Linked DNA regions of Mytilus edulis. The protein of the gene in region 2 purifies or fractionates together with the protein of the main gene of each other region. This does not show direct contact. Links are inferred from orthologs where the notes say so. Each region holds a gene or a part of one and is shown on either strand. Other genes may lie near its edges.

The links.
Region 1: the proteins of transcription factor Maf-like (region 2) and ubiquitin carboxyl-terminal hydrolase 5-like purify together in Homo sapiens (affinity purification with western blotting; 3 studies listed by BioGRID, with this or other methods). This does not show direct contact. The link is inferred for Mytilus edulis from reciprocal best matches to the Homo sapiens genes MAF and USP5.

What each region holds. Positions count from the first base shown.
Region 1 is NC_092356.1:61,376,717-61,389,303, forward strand, and holds the start of ubiquitin carboxyl-terminal hydrolase 5-like, read right to left. Parts: upstream 5,193-12,587; 5' UTR 5,028-5,192; intron 1-5,027. Other genes in the region: cell division cycle-associated protein 3-like, read left to right, coding at 5,339-5,365, 12,250-12,469. UniProt on the Homo sapiens protein: Deubiquitinating enzyme that participates in a wide range of cellular processes by specifically cleaving isopeptide bonds between ubiquitin and substrate proteins or ubiquitin itself.
Region 2 is NC_092348.1:28,660,350-28,672,815, forward strand, and holds the start of transcription factor Maf-like, read left to right. Parts: upstream 1-7,802; 5' UTR 7,803-8,102; coding exon 8,103-9,029; 3' UTR 9,030-12,466.

The DNA.
Region 1 (12,587 bases), on a different chromosome or scaffold from region 2:
GTTTTTACTTTTTAAATGAAAACTAATCTACACTGTCACAGAATACCCCCAAAAAACGAAATTTATTTAACCGTTATTTTTTTAAATGAAATGATTTTTAACAGTCTTAAAATATAATTGCAAATACATTTTCGTATCATTATTGGAGAATAACTTTATACATGTATGCTTAGTTATTTGTATAACAATTGAAAAAAAAACCTGTTAATTGAATCATAATCATACAATTGCAGGATTTCAATTAACAGCAGTTTGATATATAGCACTTCACTGTTTTCATGGGTATTGAAGTGGGGCAGGGACATATATAGATATACAACGGGATTGTATCTTTTTTCATAAGTGGGTCGAGTTGGCACCAATAAAATCATCGTGTTTTTTTTATCTATTTGTTAAGAGTGGGGCGAGTTGGCAGACCTTATGTCAGCGGGATTTTAACTCTTTTCAAAAGAGGGGCATGTTATCCAACCTATTTGCAATGGAATTTTAGCCTTTTTCGTAAGTGGGGCGAGTTGGTAAACAAGAGTGGGGCAATTTTATAGAAAGTGGGGCAAGTTTGTGAAAAAGTGAGGCGATTAGGTGTGGGGCGATTTGCCAGTGGGGCGATTTGTCATGGATTCAATTTTGTCATGTGACAGTGACGTCATGAAAGATTTTTCCTGATTTACTCATGTTTTTAATGGAATTTTGAACTAAATTGTAAGGAATGACTGTATTAATGTTTGTTGTCTATTCGAAAATAACATAAAAAATGTGGTGCATACTTAAAAATTACTCTCTACACAGGTTATTCAGTATGCACCACATTTTATATGTTATTTCTTCATAGACAGAAAAAATATAACTGTCATTCCTTAAGCCAAGTTAAGGTGGAACATAACAATACAGGGAGATAACTCTGTAAAATCAGCTAAACGTTTTAATCATGGTGTATTGTTAAGGAAATATTAAGCTTCTCAATGATAAAAAATTATGTGTTTGTCAAACTGCTTAGTGGCCAAAGACCACAATTAATGATCCCGCTTTTCATTGTCCAAGAATATAGTTCCAATTAATTATAGTGTATTGTTTTTTTATTTTTATTCTTCCCCTTTCTCATAAATTTCTTAGTTTTTTTTGGGTGGAAATTAAAGAAGAGAGCTGAAATAAACTTTTGGATGTTTTATTTTAACAGATTTTGATATGGAAAGAGAGATTAGGCCAGGTGCAAAAAGGTAATATTTACACTTTTCGGAACATCTCTTGACTTGCCTACTCCACTAGTACAGAATACACCATATTTTGCAATGTTAATTGCAAGACTACAAATTAAATGTTGTGCATCTCCTACAGTGTACATGTGGTAAACAGTATGTTGGTGAGTCAGAACAGCTGTTTCACAAACGAATAAACAGTCATCGTAGCAACTACCAATGCAAGCCAGACCTCCCTCTCAGTCGATATTTGAGATCCCCTGGCCACACTAAGGCAGATCTCAACCGACTGAGCATTACAATCATTGACCACAACTCTGCTTGGTCTAGGGAGGATAGACTCACTCAGGATAGATTTTGGATAAGAAAATTAACAACTTTGGCACCAAATGGGATAAAGGAAAAGATGTAGTTAGACTTTGTGTAGTGCTTCACATTTGGGTATATATATTATATATTATTACAGTCTCTGTTTCTATTTCTTTACCTTACCTTACCTTACTCATCTTAAAATAATGATGAATATAAATACCAATTTAAATTGCTTGATTTTTTGAGGGATATAAAAGTACCAAGCCACGTTCAACTAGTTAACCGTAGTCAAAATTTATTATTATATTTTAACGGCCTTTTGTTTGCGATGTTTAATAAAGTAGACTCTGCTGTAACTCTACCGTTGTCAAATTTGAATTATTCCATGTATTTACAAATTAAGATTATTCAGTGCTGTTTATTTGAAATTTTTATTGACGCAATCGTTCTTCATAACATCATAAAGCTAAAGTTTTAGAAATGTGCTAATTCATATTGCACATTATTATTTTTATTTAAAGCATATATTTGCACTCTCTGTTGTAATTAGCCATATAACCTAGGTCATCATGGTCATGTTTAACAAATTTTTAGAATGGTTCAAGCGTTTTACCTGATGTTTGGTTCGACTTTGACAGAGCTCCAGATAAGAATTCACAAATTGGGGTTTTTACCCACTATTTTTTTATTTAATTGAGTGAAGTAGTTTTTCAATTATATTATTAATTCCAATTCACCCCTCAAGCAAATATCAAATTGGGTTTTTCACCACCAAGCTCCTGAACCTATTGTATTTTTTCATCAATACGATACTGAATTTAAGCATGTTATAATCACATTAATCTACGCTAAAGTACGTGGTTCCATACACTGAAGTGCAATGGTCCGGGAAAATATAGACGTAAAAACGTAGTTCGATAATGACGTTAACAGTTGTTTATACAAACTAAAAATGAACATACCGAAAAATATATTAGGAATATCTGATTAACAATTTTTTACACCATATGTCCATGACTTAAGAGTAATTGATTGAATTTAACAGTTTTTTGTCGGCTGAATCACAATGTTTATTTTTTTCGAGTGCTGGAAAAAGGACTTGTCCTACAGTCGACCATTTTACTATATCAATACAAAACAGTATAACGCATACTTATCCTGCTTCTATTTGAAGCGAACCGATACATTTGAATCATTGTTTATGTGGCAGTTTACTTAAGTGATCCCCGTTAAAATGCTGTCGATTTTAATGAAAAGTAACGTCGGAAAAATAGAGATACATGTTTTCATGCGTTTACTATAAATTGTCTGCTAAAACATAAGTTCGTATTGTATATTGTAGGAAAATACGGAAAAGGAGAATGCTTGGCGAACATTGCATTTCTCTCGCATTTAGATTTAAGCTTATGCAAATAAATGTTGCATTTTTCGACAATGAAAGAATTAGGGATTTTTAATAAATTTTCAATGACAATTGAAGGGAAGTTGTAACATTAGTGTGAAATGCAATCTACACCAATTATCCAAATATTCAATATGCCCCGAATTGTTAAAAATTTATTTTACATGAAATATAATATTAGCAAAACATAAATAACCTTTATAGCAATTATTACTTGGTCGGACTTGTTAATTTAGAAACAATTACTTGCCTACCGGTTCAACCATTCAATCTAAAATACCTTGAAGTCAAGAAAACTATATACGTATGTGCATAATTTCCTAAACAAACCCTGAAGCAAGAACGTATATTAAATGTTTATTAAACGACCTAGATGGTTCTCTATTTCTTTATGGAAGTACAATCTCAAATATCAGCTTTATAACTGCACTTCAGTTCTTATATGACAGAAACAGATTTATCAGAATTCAGACAATTCTAGCATTTTACCAAAACTGGTAATTCCCTCTGACGTGTTTCTAAATTTATAAATACATTGTACACTAAATATAAATACTGCTTAATTCTGATTTTCCGTGTTGTTAAAAACACGCATATAAGTCAAGGGAATTATCAAACATGAAGATTATGAAAAGAACAATATAGGAAAGTTGTTTAAGTTCGATCCCTTTGTTTGTTTTTACCTTTTAAAGCAAGACAATCATAAGAATCTGAGATGTTCCTTGATGTTTAGAATAAAACGATTGACGTGAGGGAAATGCTCTGAGCCACCAGTATAAGTCTACACATTGCTTGAAAGCAATCGTATCCCAAAAATGCTTCTATATCTTTTTTTACCAGCTTACTTTCGTTTTAATTACATATTTTCGAACATCCTGGCACTTTAAATTTCTAGGAGGTGAAATTCTCGGGATTTTACCTCAAACTCTATGGGAAAATACAATTTTTAATTACAATTTAAAACCAAACGGTAAAAGGTATCACAAAGATTTTTATAACACATGTCTAATATGATAAGGAGATTTGAAAAAACGATCTCAAATTCAATTTTAATGATTCAACAAAAATTAAATTGAGTTTTAAGTTTGTGTACCTTTATATGGTAAAACCCGAGGATTTGCCACCGCTTCAACTCCAATATTCAAATAGATAAACACAATCTAATTATCTGATTGGTCAATCTTCAGCTGTGATGCAAGCATGAAATTATGCTAAGAGTAATGTTAAATCCCAAGCAATACGTAAAGAATTATGACGACATGACTAACGCTAATTGGATAGAGACAGAGAAGATCGAAATGTTTGGTATCCGGTCATTCCGGCGCCAACTGATCAGGCCCCAAGTCAATGTGGCCCCATGTCGATCCGTCCCAAGTCGATCCGGCACACGTCGATCTGGCCCCACATCGATCTAGGAAATTATAAACTATATAGACTTTTAATTAGTATAAATGGGGGCTTCACTTAAAAGAGTACAAATATAAACAGCGTTAAATTTGTATTCCATTTGTTTGTTAGGGAGCTACCATTTGATTTTTATGGGGGGGCTAGGATGAAATTTGAAAAAAATAGGCAGGACAGGAGTTTTGAGTAAAAAAAAAGGCAGGATGAGACACTTGCAAAAAAAAAAAAGTCAGGACCACAATTTAGGTAAAAAAAGTCAGGATAAACTAAAAAAAAAAAAGGCAGGACGGAACAGAGTGAAAAATAAAAAGGCAGGACATAGATTACAGCTAAAAAAAAATGTAGGACAAAATTTTTCATCCTAGCCCTCCCATAAAAATCAAATGGTAGCTCCCTTATATATAATCATATTCAATATTTGTAATTTATCGTTGTGTCTGGACACAAAATGCATGTCAACTATATTTTGCACCGAAACCTTGCCACTAATGAATAGTTATGTTAATTGGGGCAGGGTCAACTGAAATTATGAGCCCAACAGACTTTAGCTAAAACAACATGAAAGCATATTAATTATTATCATGATGATTCATCAATCTTTATATAATTTGTGAATATACAGATACAAACTAGTTCGTAAATGAATATATTATGGTTTCTGTGTGATTTTCAAGTATCAGTAATAAACACTGGGTCGAGAATTTGCATAATCATACCTGTAACATGTACAAATGTGATAAAAGAGGCAACCGGCGTTTACAAAAATCCTTCTGGAAAATTGCTGATTTTTATTAGTGCAGCGTCAATTTGAATTTAGAATCAAGTATCATTGAACTACGTTCTCAAAAACGTAGAAGGGATCTTATTCTTATTATCCAATCGGAGCACATTTAACGTAGGTTTTATTTTTTCCCTAAAGTTTGTTATCGTGCTTTTTGATTGGACAGAGCGGGAACTTCAAAAAGCAGGTAAACACACTTGTTTAAAAATTTTAAACAGAAGAGATTCAAGAGTTCTCTGTGATTTGATGTTTTATGCAAACTACACTACAAAGGTTTAAAAGTTGACGTAAACATCTTGCAAACTTATTTTTTTATAATTAATACAGAAACGGAAAAAACCCACCAAAATATGAATTGTAAAATAGTCAAAATCGGCACCTGGTCAAATCGGCACCAGTCCTGGTTAAATCGGCACCTGATATAACTAAGCAAATGAAGCAATTGTGCCTATTATTGAAGATTGATATAGTCAATTCGGCACCCATGTTAAACATGTAAAATATATTTGATTTACATATATCTTACCAGTATTAACTATTATGTAAAAATGTATATATTTTTCTCTCTCAACTAAATGTTATTCCACCTAAACGATTGTCAAGAATGCCGAATTGACTTTAAATAGGTGCCAATTTGACTAGATGCTGATTTAACCAGGTGCCAATACACCTTATCGCTATTTGTCCGCCATTGCTGGAAATCACACAGGTTCCCGTAAAATTTTGACGTCATAAAACAAAATGTCTGACGCCACAATGGAAAAGTGATTGTTGTTGACGTCAAAAGTTCAAGCGGACGGGTCAGCCGGGAATAGCGATAAGGTGTATTTGATGACTTTATGTTTTTCTATGGGTGCCGATTTGACTAACTTGTACCCCAAAATATATATAATCTTTCTAATATTCATGGATGATAGCTGCGGAACCGTAACTCTTATGGTCCTTTTTTAATTTTTTTTGATTTTGCGGTCCGCAAATAGTCAAAAAATAACATAGGACCTAAGAGCTACGGTTCCGCAGCTACATGGATGAGTGTTCTGAAACATAAAATGTATTAAATTTTTAGGCACCTTACTTTATATATTTATCATGCATAATATAGACTAGTGAATGCTTCAGGTTTTGTCTGTAATTCGATGTGGTATAAAATACAACCGTTTATATCAGTTTGTCAAAAACGTTATTGTGCAATAACAGGGAAAAAAATTAAATTATGGTTGCCCATTGGCGACCAGAAATTGCCCTGCTGGCTATTGGCCTTTATAAGTTAATTTTGACCCCTGCAGCATTGTAAATTCATTTGCCACAGCGTCTTAACCCAGGCTATCCCAGTTTGTGCTTCAATAATAGGCACAATTGCTTCATTTGCTTAGAAATTAATAAAAATCACCACACAGCACATGTACATGTATAGTCATACACAGCCCTCTCCGGCCTAATAACACACCAGCAAGCAAGACACCTTATCGCTATTTGTTTGCCATTACTAAACCATGTAAACATCACACATGTTCCCGTAAAATTTTGATGTCATACATGTAAATGTAATACAAAATATCTGACGCTACAAAAATATTAATGGAAAAGTGATTGTTCTATGATGACAATAGTTCAAGCGGAACAGATTCTCGTGTTAGATATCTATAATACTAAAGTTACGAGGTCCAATTTGTCATAACCACAGGGTTGACACTACTAAATTGTCAAATTGTTACCTTTTGTAGTATTTTAATCAGTAAGACTTTCTGAGATAACAATACGAATACTAAAAATCTGGACTAAAAATAAAGCGTATAGGTACAGTTTTCAATTTGTTAGTGGGCATGACGTAAAACAGCAAAGCAAAGAATTCAACTTTATTTATAACTTATATAGGACAATGCTGTTGATTAAAAAATATTCCATTCCAGGACCTTTGTTTTCCAAATAATTAATATTACCAATAACTGATAAGTTCCAGTTCAACGGGTTCAAACAGAAAGACTTGATAGCAGAGAAAAACTGTGTATCTTATAATTTGTCAGCCGTCATCACGTAAAAACGACAAATCACAGAATTCAACTTTATATATAAAATATAGTACAAAGGTGTAGTTTAAAAATTACACCACTCCAGGCCCTTTTGTTTTCCACGTAATTAATATTGCCAATAATTAAGAAGTTCCGGCTCGAGTCCGCTACCAATACCAATAGTATATTCACCTGTTACCTATTACCTTATCTGTACGTTCCGCATCTGACAGGCGCACCACCAAACGTTGTATTCAGGACTAATATGCTATATACACGGGTCATAACCACAGGGTTGACACTACCAAATTGTCAAATTGTTACCTATTGTAGTATTTTAATCAGTAAGACTTTCTAAGATAACAATACGAATACTAAAAATCTGGACTAAAAATAAGGCGTATAGGTACAGTTTTCAATTTGTTAGTGGGCATGACGTAAAACAGCAAAGCAAAGAATTCAACTTTATTTATAACTTATATAGGACAATGCTGTTGATTAAAAAATATTCCATTCCAGGACCTTTTGTTTTCCAAATAATTAATATTACCAATAACTGATAAGTTCCAGTTCAACGGGTTCAAACAGAAAGACTTGATAGCAGAGAAAAACTGTGTATCTTATAATTTGTCAGCCGTCATCACGTAAAAACGACAAATCACAGAATTCAACTTTATATATAAAATATAGTACAAAGGTGTAGTTTAAAAATTACACCACTCCAGGCCCTTTTGTTTTCCACGTAATTAATATTGCCAATAATTAAGAAGTTCCGGCTCGAGTCCGCTACCAATACCAATAGTATATTCACCTGTTACCTATTACCTTATCTGTACGTTCCGCATCTGACAGGCGCACCACCAAACGTTGTATTCAGGACTAATATGCTATATACACGGGTCATAACCACAGGGTTGACACTACCAAATTGTCAAATTGTTACCTATTGTAGTATTTTAATCAGTAAGACTTTCTAAGATAACAATACGAATACTAAAAATCTGGACTAAAAATAAGGCGTATAGGTACAGTTTTCAATTTGTTAGTGGGCATGACGTAAAACAGCAAAGCAGAGAATTCAACTTTATTTATAACTTATATAGGACAATGCTGTTGATTGAAAAATACTCCATTCCAGGACCTTTTGTTTTCCAAATAATTAATATTACCAATAACTGATAAGTTACAGTTCAACGGGTTCAAACAGAAAGACTTGAAAGCAGAGAAAAACTGTGTATCTTATAATCGACATGACTTTATCATATGACAATACTAATACTAAAATAAGGCTTGCGCATACTTATATATACTTTAATTCAGTCACGGACCCGTGATATCACGGGTGTGTTCTAGTACACATATAAGTAAATAAATGATGTTTGAATAATCTCCCCTTAATTTTCTCAAAAGTAAATTTTTCTTACAATCCCACAAAAGTCCTCAAGTTTTGAGATGTAAATTCATGCCTTTAACATGTTTAATGATTTTCCCAGGTTTGCTCAATTTTTTTTATACTGAAATAAGTGATTTTTAAATCACTTGTATTTGAGTAGCAAATTCGAGGTTTTGTCACAAATTTGGATTTTGTAGTTTTTTAAAAATTTTAAACACATAGGTTTAAATAACATCTTTTAATTAGTAAAATTAAAAAATATGAACTTTTTGCTTCTTTTAAGTAGCAAGGTTTATGCCTTTGATGCTATCATTTACCTGAAAATTCTATTTTAGTTGAAAAAATGCTATAATAATGGCTTTACATAATGAACTCATACTTTCTTAACAGATTTTTCCCAGCAGTGGGAGTATTTTTCCTGTGAAGTTCAAGGTTTTCATCTTTCAGATTATGTAATAAAATTCTACTGTTCGCGATAAAAATTTCACTGTTCGGGGGTGTTGAAATTAGTGGGGCCGGGGTTATTAAAAGAATGATACTTAAAGAAGTGATTTTTGGGAAGGAAATTGAGGTCTGGTACTTAAACAAGTGATTTTTATGTCATTATCCTAGATTCAGTACAAGGTCATCACCTGAAATGACCTGGTCATCCTAGACAACACAGATGTTGGTTCTGATAAGTTTAGAAACATAATTAGTCCCTGGATCATTAGTATTCTATATCTAAACATGCTAAAGCTACACTAATATTAAATCACTTCTTCTAGTGATTAATTTGTACTACTTAAATAGGTGATTATTAAAGAATCTGATTGCGCAAAGATCTTAAGTACTTGCGCAAGGCCTTCAAAAATTGCTCCTTGGGGCAGGGTTGGAAAAAACCTGGGTTTACTTATATATACACATGGAAAAAAGTATTGCAACACCAAATTGAAATTGAAATTAAAAAAACACTTTTTATTTTTTTGTGATATAATTTGGTAAAATAGAACTAATTAAACATTATTTAAGTATCACCTGAGTTTAATCAATAAATATCGATTCGATAAGTTTTTATCTGCACATGCAGCTACTGTACCCGTAAACAGCAAAACAGATGTTTTCATCCTCATTGTTTTCAACACTTTAAATAACCAAGTTTTTAAAGTTATGTGATTGACACCTTGTAATGAGTCCTCTACAACTCTAAACTGCAGCAAGATGGCAGATTATCAGCATGAGAGAAGCAGGGATGTCGCTGAAACAACTGCACGTATTTTTGGTCATCACCATTCCACTATAAGTCGTTTTGAGAATAAAAATAAGGCACTAAACAATGTTAAAGACCTTCCGAGATAACATGGATAAAGAAGACCCCCTATACCATTTGCTAGGGAAAATCAAGCATAATGAAGGTTGGTCAGAAGGAAACCCATTGCATACAATACAATTCTAAAAAGAGAGTGGTGGGCATACAGGAGCCTTTTAACAAGAACTGTTCGAGATCGACTCATCGCTACTGGTTATCGTGCGATAAGACCATTTCGGATACATTTGCTTACGAACAGACACACAGTTTTCCGTATCCAATGTAGTGCAGAGCTCGCTAAAGTTGAAAATTAGCATCGTTGAGGAAGATCCATTGTTCCAATGGAATTCGGTTCATCTTCCTTGGACGGATCGTAGCCCGGATTTGAACCATATCGAGCATATATGGGACACTATTGGGCGGAACGTGCGCGAAAGGACACCCCAGTTCAAACACATAATGAAATAAACAATGCCTTTCATCAGAAATGGTTGCTGCTACCTTAGCAACAAATAAGTCGATTTTTGGCAAGAATCAGGAGACGTTTAGATGCGGTTATCCGTTTGAATGGAGGCTGCGCACAAAGTACTAATTATTTGGCGTATAACGATCAACCATGATGTGAACAGTCATCTGAAGATTAATTTTGAAATGTCTGACATTGTAAAGTTCGACTACAGTAAAAGTTGGAAAATGCATTTTTTTGTACAAAAAACACTTCATTTTGTTATTAAAATTGTGGTTATATAAATCTTTTTTTTTTCAAACATTTTTTGTTTGTTTCAATGCCAATGTTATCATAAACTATGTTTCAATAATATTATACAAATATTTTATTATATTTCATCCAAAAAAAGAGGCTGATTTTTCAAATTTTTAAAAATCAAGGTGTTGCAATACTTTTTTCCATGTGTATACATGTAAGTATATTAATATTACTTCTTCAAGTAATTAAAAATAACTTGTACAAGAAGTACCCCTGACTGACTGGACATCACAAAAGGCTCACTTAAAATTTTGATGTTGTTTTAGAAAATTTCTGACAACATAATGTAAAAGTGATTTCAAATGGTTAGGGGGGAAAAGCTTCTTGTGTCAAGTGTGAGAGATTTTCAAATAGCTATAAGGTGTATCAGTCTGTCAAAAAAGGTATGGTGGAAAGCACAATGTAAGGTCAAATGTCAGAACTGTAAAAGTCCATAATGAAAGATGATAATTGATTACTATGCCATATTTTATTTTCAAATATATTTATAAAATTATCTTGGAAAAACCTTTTTATGATGAATAAGGCTTTGAAGAAAAGATTATATTCATTGACATTGTTAACAGTCATTTTATTCCTATTTCCTAGCGTAGAGAGCAAAAAAAGATTAAATGTGTACTTCAGTCATTTTGTCAGTCGAATCTCTGAATCAACCAACTTTTCAGTCCCATGATAGGACTTTCTGGGCATAGCCAGAACTTGAATGAAGCAGTCCCAAAATCAATTTGGCAAATTGGCCATGGATTGGAGCCAGTATACATTGTTGATAGCTCTAACTTAGTTCATTTCAGCCATTTACCACTTTGGCCGTGAAAAATATCATTTTAAGTCATTTTTGCCATTATTTTATAATTTGATTTCCAAATAAAAGAGTTTAATTGTATATACATGTACATGTATAATTTCATCCACCTTAGTTTATTGCTATTTGTCTAACATTACTGGACATTACAAAGGTTCTTGTAAAATTTTGACCTCACAATTAGAAAAATATTTGACACTACCATGACTACGTATACCATGTATACCATCATTGACCATGTAAAAGTGACTGTTGTATGAAGTCAAAAGGTCAAGTTGTAGATTTCCAAATACCTTTAGGATTTTTACATCTGAAATTACTTGTTTCAGTAAACGTACATGACATACTAGTGATACAAAAAAGTCTTGTGTCTATTCTTGTGAAAATTTTCAAATTTTCTAAACTAAAATCACATGTTAAGTTTATGTATTACCTCTGATAATATTTTTCAAAACTAAAATCACTTGTTGATGTAATACCTCTGATAAAAATTTTCAAAACTAAAATCACTTGTTTATGTTTACAATACCTCTGATAAAAAAATTCAAAACTAAAATCACTAGTTTATGTTATACCTCTGATAAAAAATTTTAAACTAAAATCACTTGTTTATGTAATACCTCTGATAAAAAAATTCAAAACTAAAACCACTTGTTTATGTAATACCTCTGATAAAAAATTTCAAAACTAAAATCACTTGTTTATGTAATACCTCTGATAAATGAATATATGTAGGGTTTTACTTCTCAAATTACTTGTTTCAGTATATATGTACTAGTGATAGCAAAAAATCTTGTGTCTATTGTTGTGAAAATTTTCAATTTTTCAAAACTTAAATCACTTGTTTATGTAATACCTCTGATAAATGGATATATTAATTTTTTTATATTTGATTTTAGTTTGAAATGGGTGGTACACACACAAGGATAGAACAAAATGAAGATGCCCTTACACCTCCACGTCAGGGACCACATACCAGAGTCCTGGAGTTTGACCCACGATCTCCTACAACAGAAATAGCAAGGACACCAATTGTAGTAGACAAGACACCAGATGGATTGCTAGACCCTAGATCTCCAACACCAGGAGTTCTCAGGACACCAATTCCTGATTATCATGGTACAAATTAATACAAAATCATTATCAGTCAAGGAAACTTGATTATTTTATAAATTATTTGAAATCACTGGCTTATAGAATTGATATAAGAAGATGTGGTATGATTACCAATGAATGA
Region 2 (12,466 bases):
TTTTTTGTGATTTTACTTTTTTCTTTGATTTACAACTAATGGGAAGACATTACTGATGATCGGCTGTTATTCCATGAAAGGGTAGTTCACCCAATATTCTATCTTTCTCTTTGATTTATAACATAGGGTTGAGATCACTGATTTTCGGCTGTTAGTCCATAAGGATATCATAATCATTCACCCAGTCTTTATATGTTTCTCTTTGCTTTAAAATCATTGGGTCGACACCACCGATAAAGGACTGTTAAACATAAGGGTTTCCAGTAAAGTCTATGTTAAACCGCCGATAAAGGACTGTTAGTTCATAAGGGTTTCAGTATAGTCTATGTTACACCCCCGATAAAGGACTGTTAGTTCATAAGGGTTTACAGTATAGTCTATATTACACCGCCGATAAAGGACTGTTAGTTCATAAGGGTTTACAGTATAGTCTATATTACACCGCCGATAAAGGACTGTTAGTTCATAAGGGTTTACAGTATAGTCTATGTTACACCGCCGATAAAGGACTGTTAGTTAGTTCATAAGGGTTTCCAGTATAGTCTATATTACACCGCCGATAAAGGACTGTTAGTTCATAAGGGTTTACAGTATAGTCTATATTACACCGCCGATAAAGGACTGTTAGTTCATAAGGGTTTCCAGTATAGTCTATGTTACACCACCGATAAAGTACTGTTAGTTCACACAGGTTTCCAGTATAGTCTATGTTACACCGCCGATAAAGGACTGTTAGTTCATAAGGGTTTACAGTATAGTCTATGTTACACCCCCGATAAAGGACTGTTAGTTCATAAGGGTTTCCAGTATAGTCTATGTTACACCGCCGATAAAGGACTGTAAGTTCATAAGGGTTTACAGTATAGTCTATATTACACCGCCGATAAAGGACTGTTAGTTCATACGGGTTTCCAGTATAGTCTATGTTACACCGCCGATAAAGTACTGTTAGTTCACAAAGGTTTCCAGTATAGTCTATGTTACACCGCCGATAAAGGACTGTTAGTTTATAAGGGTTTACAGTATAGTCTGTTACACCGCCGATAAAGGACTGTTAGTTCATAAGGGTTTCCAGTATAGTCTATGTTACACCGCCGATAAAGGACTGTTAGTTCATAAGGGTTTCCATTATAGTCTATATTACACCGCCGATAAAGGACTGTTAGTTCATAAGGGTTTCCAGTATAGTCTATGTTACACCGCCGATAAAGGACTGTTAGTTCATAAGGGTTTCCAGTATAGTCTATGTTACACCGCCGATAAAGTACTGTTAGTTCACAAAGGTTTCCAGTATATATAGTCTATGTTACACCGCCGATAAAGAACTATTAGTTCATAAGGGTTTCCAGTATAGTCTATGTTACACCGCCGATAAAGGACTGTTAGCTAATAAGGGTTTCCAGTATAGTCTATATTACACCGCCGATAAAGTAGTGTTAGTTTATAAGGGTTTCCAGTATAGTCTATGTTACACCGCTGATAAAGGACTGTTAGTTCATAAGGTTTTCCAGTATAGTCTATGTTACACCGCCGATAAAGTACTGTTAGTTCATAAGGGTTTCCAGTATAGTCTATGTTACACCACCGATAAAGGACTGTTAAACATAAGGGTTTCCAGTAAAGTCTATGTTAAACCGCCGATAAAGGACTGTTAGTTCATAAGGGTTTCAGTATAGTCTATGTTACACCCCCGATAAAGGACTGTTAGTTCATAAGGGTTTACAGTATAGTCTATATTACACCGCCGATAAAGGACTGTTAGTTCATAAGGGTTTACAGTATAGTCTATATTACACCGCCGATAAAGGACTGTTAGTTCATAAGGGTTTACAGTATAGTCTATGTTACACCGCCGATAAAGGACTGTTAGTTAGTTCATAAGGGTTTCCAGTATAGTCTATATTACACCGCCGATAAAGGACTGTTAGTTCATAAGGGTTTACAGTATAGTCTATATTACACCGCCGATAAAGGACTGTTAGTTCATAAGGGTTTCCAGTATAGTCTATGTTACACCACCGATAAAGTATTGTTAGTTCACACAGGTTTCCAGTATAGTCTATGTTACACCGCCGATAAAGGACTGTTAGTTCATAAGGGTTTACAGTATAGTCTATGTTACACCCCCGATAAAGGACTGTTAGTTCATAAGGGTTTCCAGTATAGTCTATGTTACACCGCCGATAAAGGACTGTAAGTTCATAAGGGTTTACAGTATAGTCTATATTACACCGCCGATAAAGGACTGTTAGTTCATACGGGTTTCCAGTATAGTCTATGTTACACCGCCGATAAAGTACTGTTAGTTCACAAAGGTTTCCAGTATAGTCTATGTTACACCGCCGATAAAGGACTGTTAGTTTATAAGGGTTTACAGTATAGTCTGTTACACCGCCGATAAAGGACTGTTAGTTCATAAGGGTTTCCAGTATAGTCTATGTTACACCGCCGATAAAGGACTGTTAGTTCATAAGGGTTTCCATTATAGTCTATATTACACCGCCGATAAAGGACTGTTAGTTCATAAGGGTTTCCAGTATAGTCTATGTTACACCGCCGATAAAGGACTGTTAGTTCATAAGGGTTTCCAGTATAGTCTATGTTACACCGCCGATAAAGTACTGTTAGTTCACAAAGGTTTCCAGTATATATAGTCTATGTTACACCGCCGATAATGAACTATTAGTTCATAAGGGTTTCCAGTATAGTCTATGTTACACCGCCGATAAAGGACTGTTAGCTAATAAGGGTTTCCAGTATAGTCTATATTACACCGCCGATAAAGTAGTGTTAGTTTATAAGGGTTTCCAGTATAGTCTATGTTACACCGCTGATAAAGGACTGTTAGTTCATAAGGTTTTCCAGTATAGTCTATGTTACACCGCCGATAAAGTACTGTTAGTTCATAAGGGTTTCCAGTATAGTCTATGTTACACCGCTGATAAAGTACTGTTAGTTCATAAGGGTTTCCAGTATAGTCTATCTTCAATATGGTATATTATTTATATATCACGTGCGTTTCGCATTGTTAAGGTTTTTTTTTTACTTATTGACTGGCTAAGACATACGGTTTATTTAGTATATATAGATAGGTTATAAAATAAATATGAGAATTTGGATCAAATTGGTTATAAAGAATTATAATATGACGTTCTTCTTTAGCTTTGGGTACAAAGCCATGTTCTAATTCGAATAGAACATGGGCTGCACGTGATTGCCGTCACAATTGAAATTGCAACGTCAGATGAATTTTGAACAACGCCAGAGATCCAAATGGACATTTTTGTTGGTGTTGCTTGCTAGGAAATTAAATAAAAACAATCTAAAAGTAGGTTTAAATGTTTCTGTTTTTTTTCTTTCTTGATAAACTGTTGATTTTTCTATAACGTTTGTGTTCATCAAATCAAAATGGCGACATTTAGCGTATACTGTAGGTCCGCTTCGAAGTACAAAAGTACAAAAGTTCAAAATAGTCCTATTAGAATCGAAATAATTCTATCATGCCATGCTCTATGCTCATTTTAACATGGTAAGGCATTATATTTGTAAACATTTAATACCTCGCTAACGCTCGGTATTAAGATATTAACAAATATAATGCCTACCCATGTTAAAATGAGCATAGAGCATGGCATGAAAGAATTATTTCTTAATTTGACAGATACTGCCGCTTTGATATTGAATTTGATGTTTTCTCCTATTTCTAATGTAATACATTGTAGTACAAATACGATTGAGTGTTTATAGATAAGCAAAAATACTTATACACTGGTTACAAGAGCACATATATAGTACAGATATATAAATACCATTGACCGATATACAAAAAAGTATGTTCATAGTAAAATTAATACAATTATATAACTACGGAAAGTGTCCCTCTACATGGTATTTTCAAGAGATACGCTCAAGTTGACAGTTTGTTTTAAAAACATTTACTTTTCCAATTAGACACGAATTCCCCAACAAGGTTCCAGCCACACAAACCTGTTTTACCATAATTAATATCGTATTAATGAACAAATATATTATTTTGGGGGGATTATTTTTTGTGATTTTACTTTTTTCTTTGATTTACAACTAATGGGAAGACATTACTGATGATCGGCTGTTATTCCATGAAAGGGTAGTTCACCCAATATTCTATCTTTCTCTTTGATTTATAACATAGGGTTGAGATCACTGATTTTCGGCTGTTAGTCCATAAGGATATCATAATCATTCACCCAGTCTTTATATGTTTCTCTTTGCTTTAAAATCATTGGGTCGACACCACCGATAAAGGACTGTTAAACATAAGGGTTTCCAGTAAAGTCTATGTTAAACCGCCGATAAAGGACTGTTAGTTCATAAGGGTTTCAGTATAGTCTATGTTACACCCCCGATAAAGGACTGTTAGTTCATAAGGGTTTACAGTATAGTCTATATTACACCGCCGATAAAGGACTGTTAGTTCATAAGGGTTTACAGTATAGTCTATATTACACCGCCGATAAAGGACTGTTAGTTCATAAGGGTTTACAGTATAGTCTATGTTACACCGCCGATAAAGGACTGTTAGTTAGTTCATAAGGGTTTCCAGTATAGTCTATATTACACCGCCGATAAAGGACTGTTAGTTCATAAGGGTTTACAGTATAGTCTATATTACACCGCCGATAAAGGACTGTTAGTTCATAAGGGTTTCCAGTATAGTCTATGTTACACCACCGATAAAGTACTGTTAGTTCACACAGGTTTCCAGTATAGTCTATGTTACACCGCCGATAAAGGACTGTTAGTTCATAAGGGTTTACAGTATAGTCTATGTTACACCCCCGATAAAGGACTGTTAGTTCATAAGGGTTTCCAGTATAGTCTATGTTACACCGCCGATAAAGGACTGTAAGTTCATAAGGGTTTACAGTATAGTCTATATTACACCGCCGATAAAGGACTGTTAGTTCATACGGGTTTCCAGTATAGTCTATGTTACACCGCCGATAAAGTACTGTTAGTTCACAAAGGTTTCCAGTATAGTCTATGTTACACCGCCGATAAAGGACTGTTAGTTTATAAGGGTTTACAGTATAGTCTGTTACACCGCCGATAAAGGACTGTTAGTTCATAAGGGTTTCCAGTATAGTCTATGTTACACCGCCGATAAAGGACTGTTAGTTCATAAGGGTTTCCATTATAGTCTATATTACACCGCCGATAAAGGACTGTTAGTTCATAAGGGTTTCCAGTATAGTCTATGTTACACCGCCGATAAAGGACTGTTAGTTCATAAGGGTTTCCAGTATAGTCTATGTTACACCGCCGATAAAGTACTGTTAGTTCACAAAGGTTTCCAGTATATATAGTCTATGTTACACCGCCGATAAAGAACTATTAGTTCATAAGGGTTTCCAGTATAGTCTATGTTACACCGCCGATAAAGGACTGTTAGCTAATAAGGGTTTCCAGTATAGTCTATATTACACCGCCGATAAAGTAGTGTTAGTTTATAAGGGTTTCCAGTATAGTCTATGTTACACCGCTGATAAAGGACTGTTAGTTCATAAGGTTTTCCAGTATAGTCTATGTTACACCGCCGATAAAGTACTGTTAGTTCATAAGGGTTTCCAGTATAGTCTATGTTACACCGCTGATAAAGTACTGTTAGTTCATAAGGGTTTCCAGTATAGTCTATCTTCAATATGGTATATTATTTATATATCACGTGCGTTTCGCATTGTTAAGGGTTTTTTTTACTTATTGACTGGCTAAGACATACGGTTTATTTAGTATATATAGATAGGTTATAAAATAAATATGAGAATTTGGATCAAATTGGTTATAAAGAATTATAATATGACGTTCTTCTTTAGCTTTGGGTACAAAGCCATGTTCTAATTCGAATAGAACATGGGCTGCACGTGATTGCCGTCACAATTGAAATTGCAACGTCAGATGAATTTTGAACAACGCCAGAGATCCAAATGGACATTTTTGTTGGTGTTGCTTGCTAGGAAATTAAATAAAAACAATCTAAAAGTAGGTTTAAATGTTTCTGTTTTTTTTCTTTCTTGATAAACTGTTGATTTTTCTATAACGTTTGTGTTCATCAAATCAAAATGGCGACATTTAGCGTATACTGTAGGTCCGCTTCGAAGTACAAAAGTACAAAAGTTCAAAATAGTCCTATTAGAATCGAAATAATTCTATCATGCCATGCTCTATGCTCATTTTAACATGGTAAGGCATTATATTTGTAAACATTTAATACCTCGCTAACGCTCGGTATTAAGATATTAACAAATATAATGCCTACCCATGTTAAAATGAGCATAGAGCATGGCATGAAAGAATTATTTCTTAATTTGACAGATACTGCCGCTTTGATATTGAATTTGATGTTTTCTCCTATTTCTAATGTAATACATTGTAGTACAAATACGATTGAGTGTTTATAGATAAGCAAAAATACTTATACACTGGTTACAAGAGCACATATATAGTACAGATATATAAATACCATTGACCGATATACAAAAAAGTATGTTCATAGTAAAATTAATACAATTATATAACTACGGAAAGTGTCCCTCTACATGGTATTTTCAAGAGATACGCTCAAGTTGACAGTTTGTTTTAAAAACATTTACTTTTCCAATTAGACACGAATTCCCCAACAAGGTTCCAGCCACACAAACCTGTTTTACCATAATTAATATCGTATTAATGAACAAATATACTATTTTGGGGGGATTATCCTAAGGGTGTCTTCCTTGAATGCCAACATTTTATATGCTACCTATTCCTTGAATGCCAACAAAAATATTATATAAGAACAATAGGTGTTTTTATAACTATTTAAATGATTTTCTAAGTATTTAAATGTAAAAATTAATTAGAGAACTTGATAAAATTGCAACATTTTATCACTTTTTGTTAAGAAAATATAGTAGATTTGGGGGTTATAATTATCATGAATTCTAAAGAAATAAAGAAAATAAAAATATTTTTATTACTTTTTATTATAAAAAATATTTTGGGAATGGAAATGTTTATAAACATAAGACATATTTGGAAAAAAAGAAAGAAATTCTAGTTAAATTTTCTTCTTTTTATGCTATGACAAAAGTATGAGAACATAAAAAGTTTCGAGAAATTCCATTAAGTAAAATAGGAGGATATTAAAATACTTACACATAACTATAGAAATATTGAAAAAAAAGCATCAAAGTCCAAAGACTTAGTTTTTTTGTTGTTTTTTTTAGATATAAAGGGCAACCATTTTCATTAAATAAAAAATAGGGGGGTGATTTTTAAAAAAATACCCGGTCTTGGTTTGCTGTAGAAAAAACAAACTTGTCATATTATTACCAAATGTAATTAATATTCTGCAACACCAATTGCAGGAATCAAAAAACGATTTTCCGAGTTGGGCAAAAATAATACTCCTGCATCGACCTTAAAAAAACACACAATTATCGTCCTCTAATGCGCACTTGTATATTAAAAATTGTACAACTTCAATGTAGTTCCAGATGAATTATTAATATACACTTAAAAAGTTTAGCAAATTCAAATCATAAATATAAGTTAAAAGACAGCTGTTTGAACATGTTCGTTTCCCGCCATATGTCAAGGTATTGCACAACCTAGTAATCGTTTCTGTCAATTTTGTTACTCGTTGATATTTGTTTTTCTCTGTGCTGTAAAACGTTCAAGTGACATTAGGAAAGTCGGTCAATATTTCTGGTTCTAAAAATACAGCTTATACTTTGCATTGATTGGTTAACTTTTGCATCCATAGCTATTTTGGGATTTGACGTTCGACATAGTATAAAAGCAGCCGGGATTCCCCTTATTTGCTCGTTGTTGCCTGCTCTCGTTCAGGTAGTCGGTGGTTGTTTGCCCTTGGACCGCCGCTACATTTCTGAACAAAATTAAGGACTTGAATGGAAGAAGTGAGTATTTAAAGGCTCAAACGAACGTTTAATCTAACATTTACAACAATCTTGACAAAAATTTCACAAGAAAAGTGGTCTAAATACAAGAAAATTATCTCGATTCTTCTGACCTAATTTGAAACGAACACGAGGTGATCTGCCGGCCAGCTGATCAAATCCAATATGGAACCCGACCAACATCTTGCGAATGATTATATTACCGATTTCGACTTGGATCAGTTATTGGATGCTTCCGAAGTAAAGAAGGAAATAGAAGATAGGTATAGCAACTGTTGTAAACGAAGTGATGTGTCCTCGCGAAGTGGATCTTCAGGAGCGACCACACCTTGCTCAGATTTGAGTGTACCCCCTTCTCCAACTTACAGCGACGAGGTTCCAAGTCCTTCAGATAGTAATTCTAGTGTATTTAGCGGTCTTAACTGGCTTACTCAAAGTGTGTTTGAGACTGACATGAAATTAAAAACAAGCTTTAGCAATAGTCAAAAGTCCACACAAAGTCTGGAGGAAGAAATTGATGAAGATGTAGATTGTTTGATATCATCCAGTCCTGAATTTGTTCAAAACTTTAGTAAATATTTGGTTTCTGGTGCAGAAGCTGGGAAGCAATCATTAAGTCGTCGGGGCATGCTGGAGGACAAGGCAGCACCAACCAAAATTCCTTCAATAAAAAGATCTCTTAGTCATTCAAGTACAAGTTCAACTAAATCCAAAACAGAAGAAAGTCTTAATTCACTTGAAGATGAAGAACTAGTTGCACTACCAGTGAGAGAACTCAATCGTCGTCTTCAAGGATTACCTAAAGAAGATGTAGTAAAACTGAAACAAAAAAGACGAACATTAAAAAATAGAGGCTATGCTCAAAATTGTCGTTCTAAACGAATGCATCAACGTCAAAGTTTAGAGGTGACTAATAAAACATTAGAAAGTCAAGTTCGTCAACTTCAGAGACAGCAAGCTGTATTGATGCGCGAGTGCCGGTTCTACAAGCAGCAGTGTGAAATTCTCAGGGCAAAGTGCAGTGGTGTAAGTGTTAAACGTGACAGTGAAGGTTCTTTCTCAAGTTACCCAAGTTCTCCCGATTGTCAGTAAAATGTGTGAATGTTGTGTGAAATGAAAAAAAGTAATATGCTATCATCAATAAAACCTTGTCACTGCTTCATAGAACGTAATGAATAAAAATCCGTTAAAAATTATCATGACATGACCATGGATGGATTATTGACAAATACAATTAACATGATTAATAAGTGCATTATTTGTTAGGTGTAAATATCTTCAGAGTTTATTTTAACACAGTAAATAATTTTCTTTCATGTATGTTATTGAAAAAAGAAACAAAAATTAGAATATAGCCTTTATCACTTGTTTAACATAGTTCATATTTAATATCATGTTTGAAGTACTGGTCTTGTTGCCATTTTGCATAATTCATTATTGCCATGCATACATTGTTGTTGTGTAAATTTCACTAAATGTAGTGTAAGATAAATTTAGAGTATTGGATGAAAGAAGTTTTAAATTAGTAGTCCAAAATACATTGATCAACAAAATTCAAATCATGTTGATTTTTAGAAAATCAACTTTAGTTTATTTCCTTATTACATTTACAATGTACAAAATAACATAATCATGACAATTAACAGAAAAAAATAATAATAAAATACAAATATTGCATATCAGTTAGCAATTAACCACAAATTCTTAAAAAAAATCATATTTGGAAAATTTAAAACTATTGTTTATGCGAATGTGTATAGCTTTTAATGTTTGGTTCATATGGTGTCGTGTATCATATGGCTCACACTAATCATGTTATATTTTTGCAAGTGTGTAATTATTGTTATCAGTTTGTGTATACTTGTTGAAATTGATTAATACATATGAGTGATATCATATATATAAGAAAGTGAATGTTAAAATTTTATTAAATGCAATGGAGAGTAGAATATCAAATTGAATTTTTTAACCTATAGCCTGTTTCAAACAAGAATTTAAGTTATGAATATTACAGTATAATAATGGTGTATGTAATGATATTTTAAGGAGGTTTAACCAAATTGAGTTGTATGAAACAGGCTATAGGATGTTTACAATAAGGTAGAGAAAGGGAGAGGTTTGGATATATTATGGGACACACTGCAAGGGCAACTATTAGTTATAGTAATAACCAGTGTGCTCACCTATTCCATCTGTGATATATAGTTTTATCAGGGACTGCAAGTCTGGTTTTCAAGGTGCCACCCTTTACAGCTGGTGACATTGGATTTATTTTTTAAAAGTTATCTCCCCTAGATATTATTATTAAATGTGTCAGTTAGTAGGGGTGGTAAAATATATCATGGTCTGTCTGAACAACGTACACAGGCAATACTTGAAATCCAGATTTGTAGCCAAGACAAATCTAATTTGTTTGGGTTAACATATTTTTTTAAGTTAACATGGGGAGAGATTTTTACCGAGTTTGTAAGAAAGTTTTTACGATTCACCAGAACCCGTTAAGGAGCGATTGGTAGGATCTTATGTTTTTATAACGAATTTGCCAGAGTATTTGGACAATTTTTATATATATGTTGTTTTGAATTTGTAAGTGCATGTACATGTTTTACTCAAAGGGTTTGATATATGAACCCCCAAAAAAAGGAATTGTTAAAAAAAAAAGAGCTACAACAACCAATACAACAAAAATTAATAAAAAAAAAAATTTAAAAAACTCCTGGACTGTTGCGACTAAATGTAAATCATAGTGAAAGGGAGGCAAGATACTTAATTTGATTCAGATAATATTTGTTTGTGTAACAGATTTCTAAGTTGCAACAGTTTTAGGGCCAAAAAAATAGTAAAAGAAAAGAAAAAAAAGATATAAAAAATGTTGTAAGCCATGAAGCTTTGCGGAGAACCAAGCAGGTTGCTTCCAAAGTAAAATCTCGAATTTGCCAGTGAAAAGGATGACTCTTGAATTTATAAACTTATGAAGCAGAATGGCTTGCCTTTCTGCATTGTTATTTAAGTGGTATTGTAAAGCAGTTAGGAATCAGCTAATCAGGAATGAGGTAGAGAAAAGTATTGTTTTTAATCGCATGCCTTATTTGAACTTTACAAATAAAATATTTATGCCCTGTAGGTGTATTAATTACCCCAAAATAATGACTATTCTACAGGTCTTCTCATTTATATATGTAAGCCAATATACGATCCATTAACCAAGTTTTTATATTCTTTTTATCCATCAAAAGATGTGGCCGTGACTGTTAGAAGTTTATTGAATGGTCACACATTGGATATATTTTTAATGTTTATTGATTATGATATTATTTCCCTACATATTGATCAAAGGCAGCACCACATGGCTTTTAATTTCAGTTAATAAAGGTGTGGTATAAAAAAGGGGGGTTGAATTAGGCTATGGTGCATTATTTTTTAGAGAGATGTAATTTTAATGATTTTTATCTATTCCATGTTGCATCCAACTACATGTAGTAAAGACATATTAATATTCGATTTTTTTAACAAACAGAAATTGTTGATAGGGCTTTAAGTTACATAATGGCATGTTTCATAGCGAAAATTCAATTGTAATGTAGATTTCCACACAGTATTATGAACAGACCTTGTAAGGAATATGCTAGAACAGGCATATCAAAATTTCTTTCAAAGTTATATTGACTAAATAACTATATTTTGTTGAACCATGTGTTGGTTCTCTGATATTGATTTTAACGTTTGTTTGTACTGTATTTACTTGGGACAAATCTATTTAAATTTCCTCTCTAATTTCTATTGACATTTTTACTTCACTGAACAAGGTAAATGAGAAACCTATCTATTTGAGAAATACAAAAGTTGAAATTATTATAAGCAAAGTAACTTTAACACCTATATAATGACCTACAAATAAGGAATTCTTAGATGTTTTGTTATTTTTCTGTATGAACAATCCTTTGTGATAAATGAAATATTTTTTAATCCATTTTGATGTGCATTTTTAATGTGTTCATTGGGATATATATATATATATATAATATATAACTGAAATACTAATGAAGTTAACCCATGAATATGGAATCGTTTTAATACTTTTGAAACTTGCAAATCATTTCTTGAATGTTTTAACAGTCCTGATAATTGTTTTAAATTGAGGTTTTTAATTTAAATCCCTCAGGAAAAACTAGTGTGCCAAATTTAGCTAATTTGGAAGTTCAAATTACTGACCCAGGGGCCCAGAGGTTCAACTTTTATAATAAAATATTGTCTTAGTTGAACTGGCGTGTTCATTATAACAATTTACAGTCTTTCATATTGAGTCTTAATAGAACTGTATTCTGATCAAGCTTGTATTGTTAATTGTTACAATTTGTTGATTGTTTTGTTTCTGAAATCTTGTTATTGGTTATTGTAAAAATTATACTTATTATTAAACTTGGAAAAAACTGAATATTTGTGCTGTGTCATGTTTGCAGGGGAAATGTGATAAAAAAAATAATAAAAACTGCTCCCTTCATATGAAAATATAAATACGATCATACTCA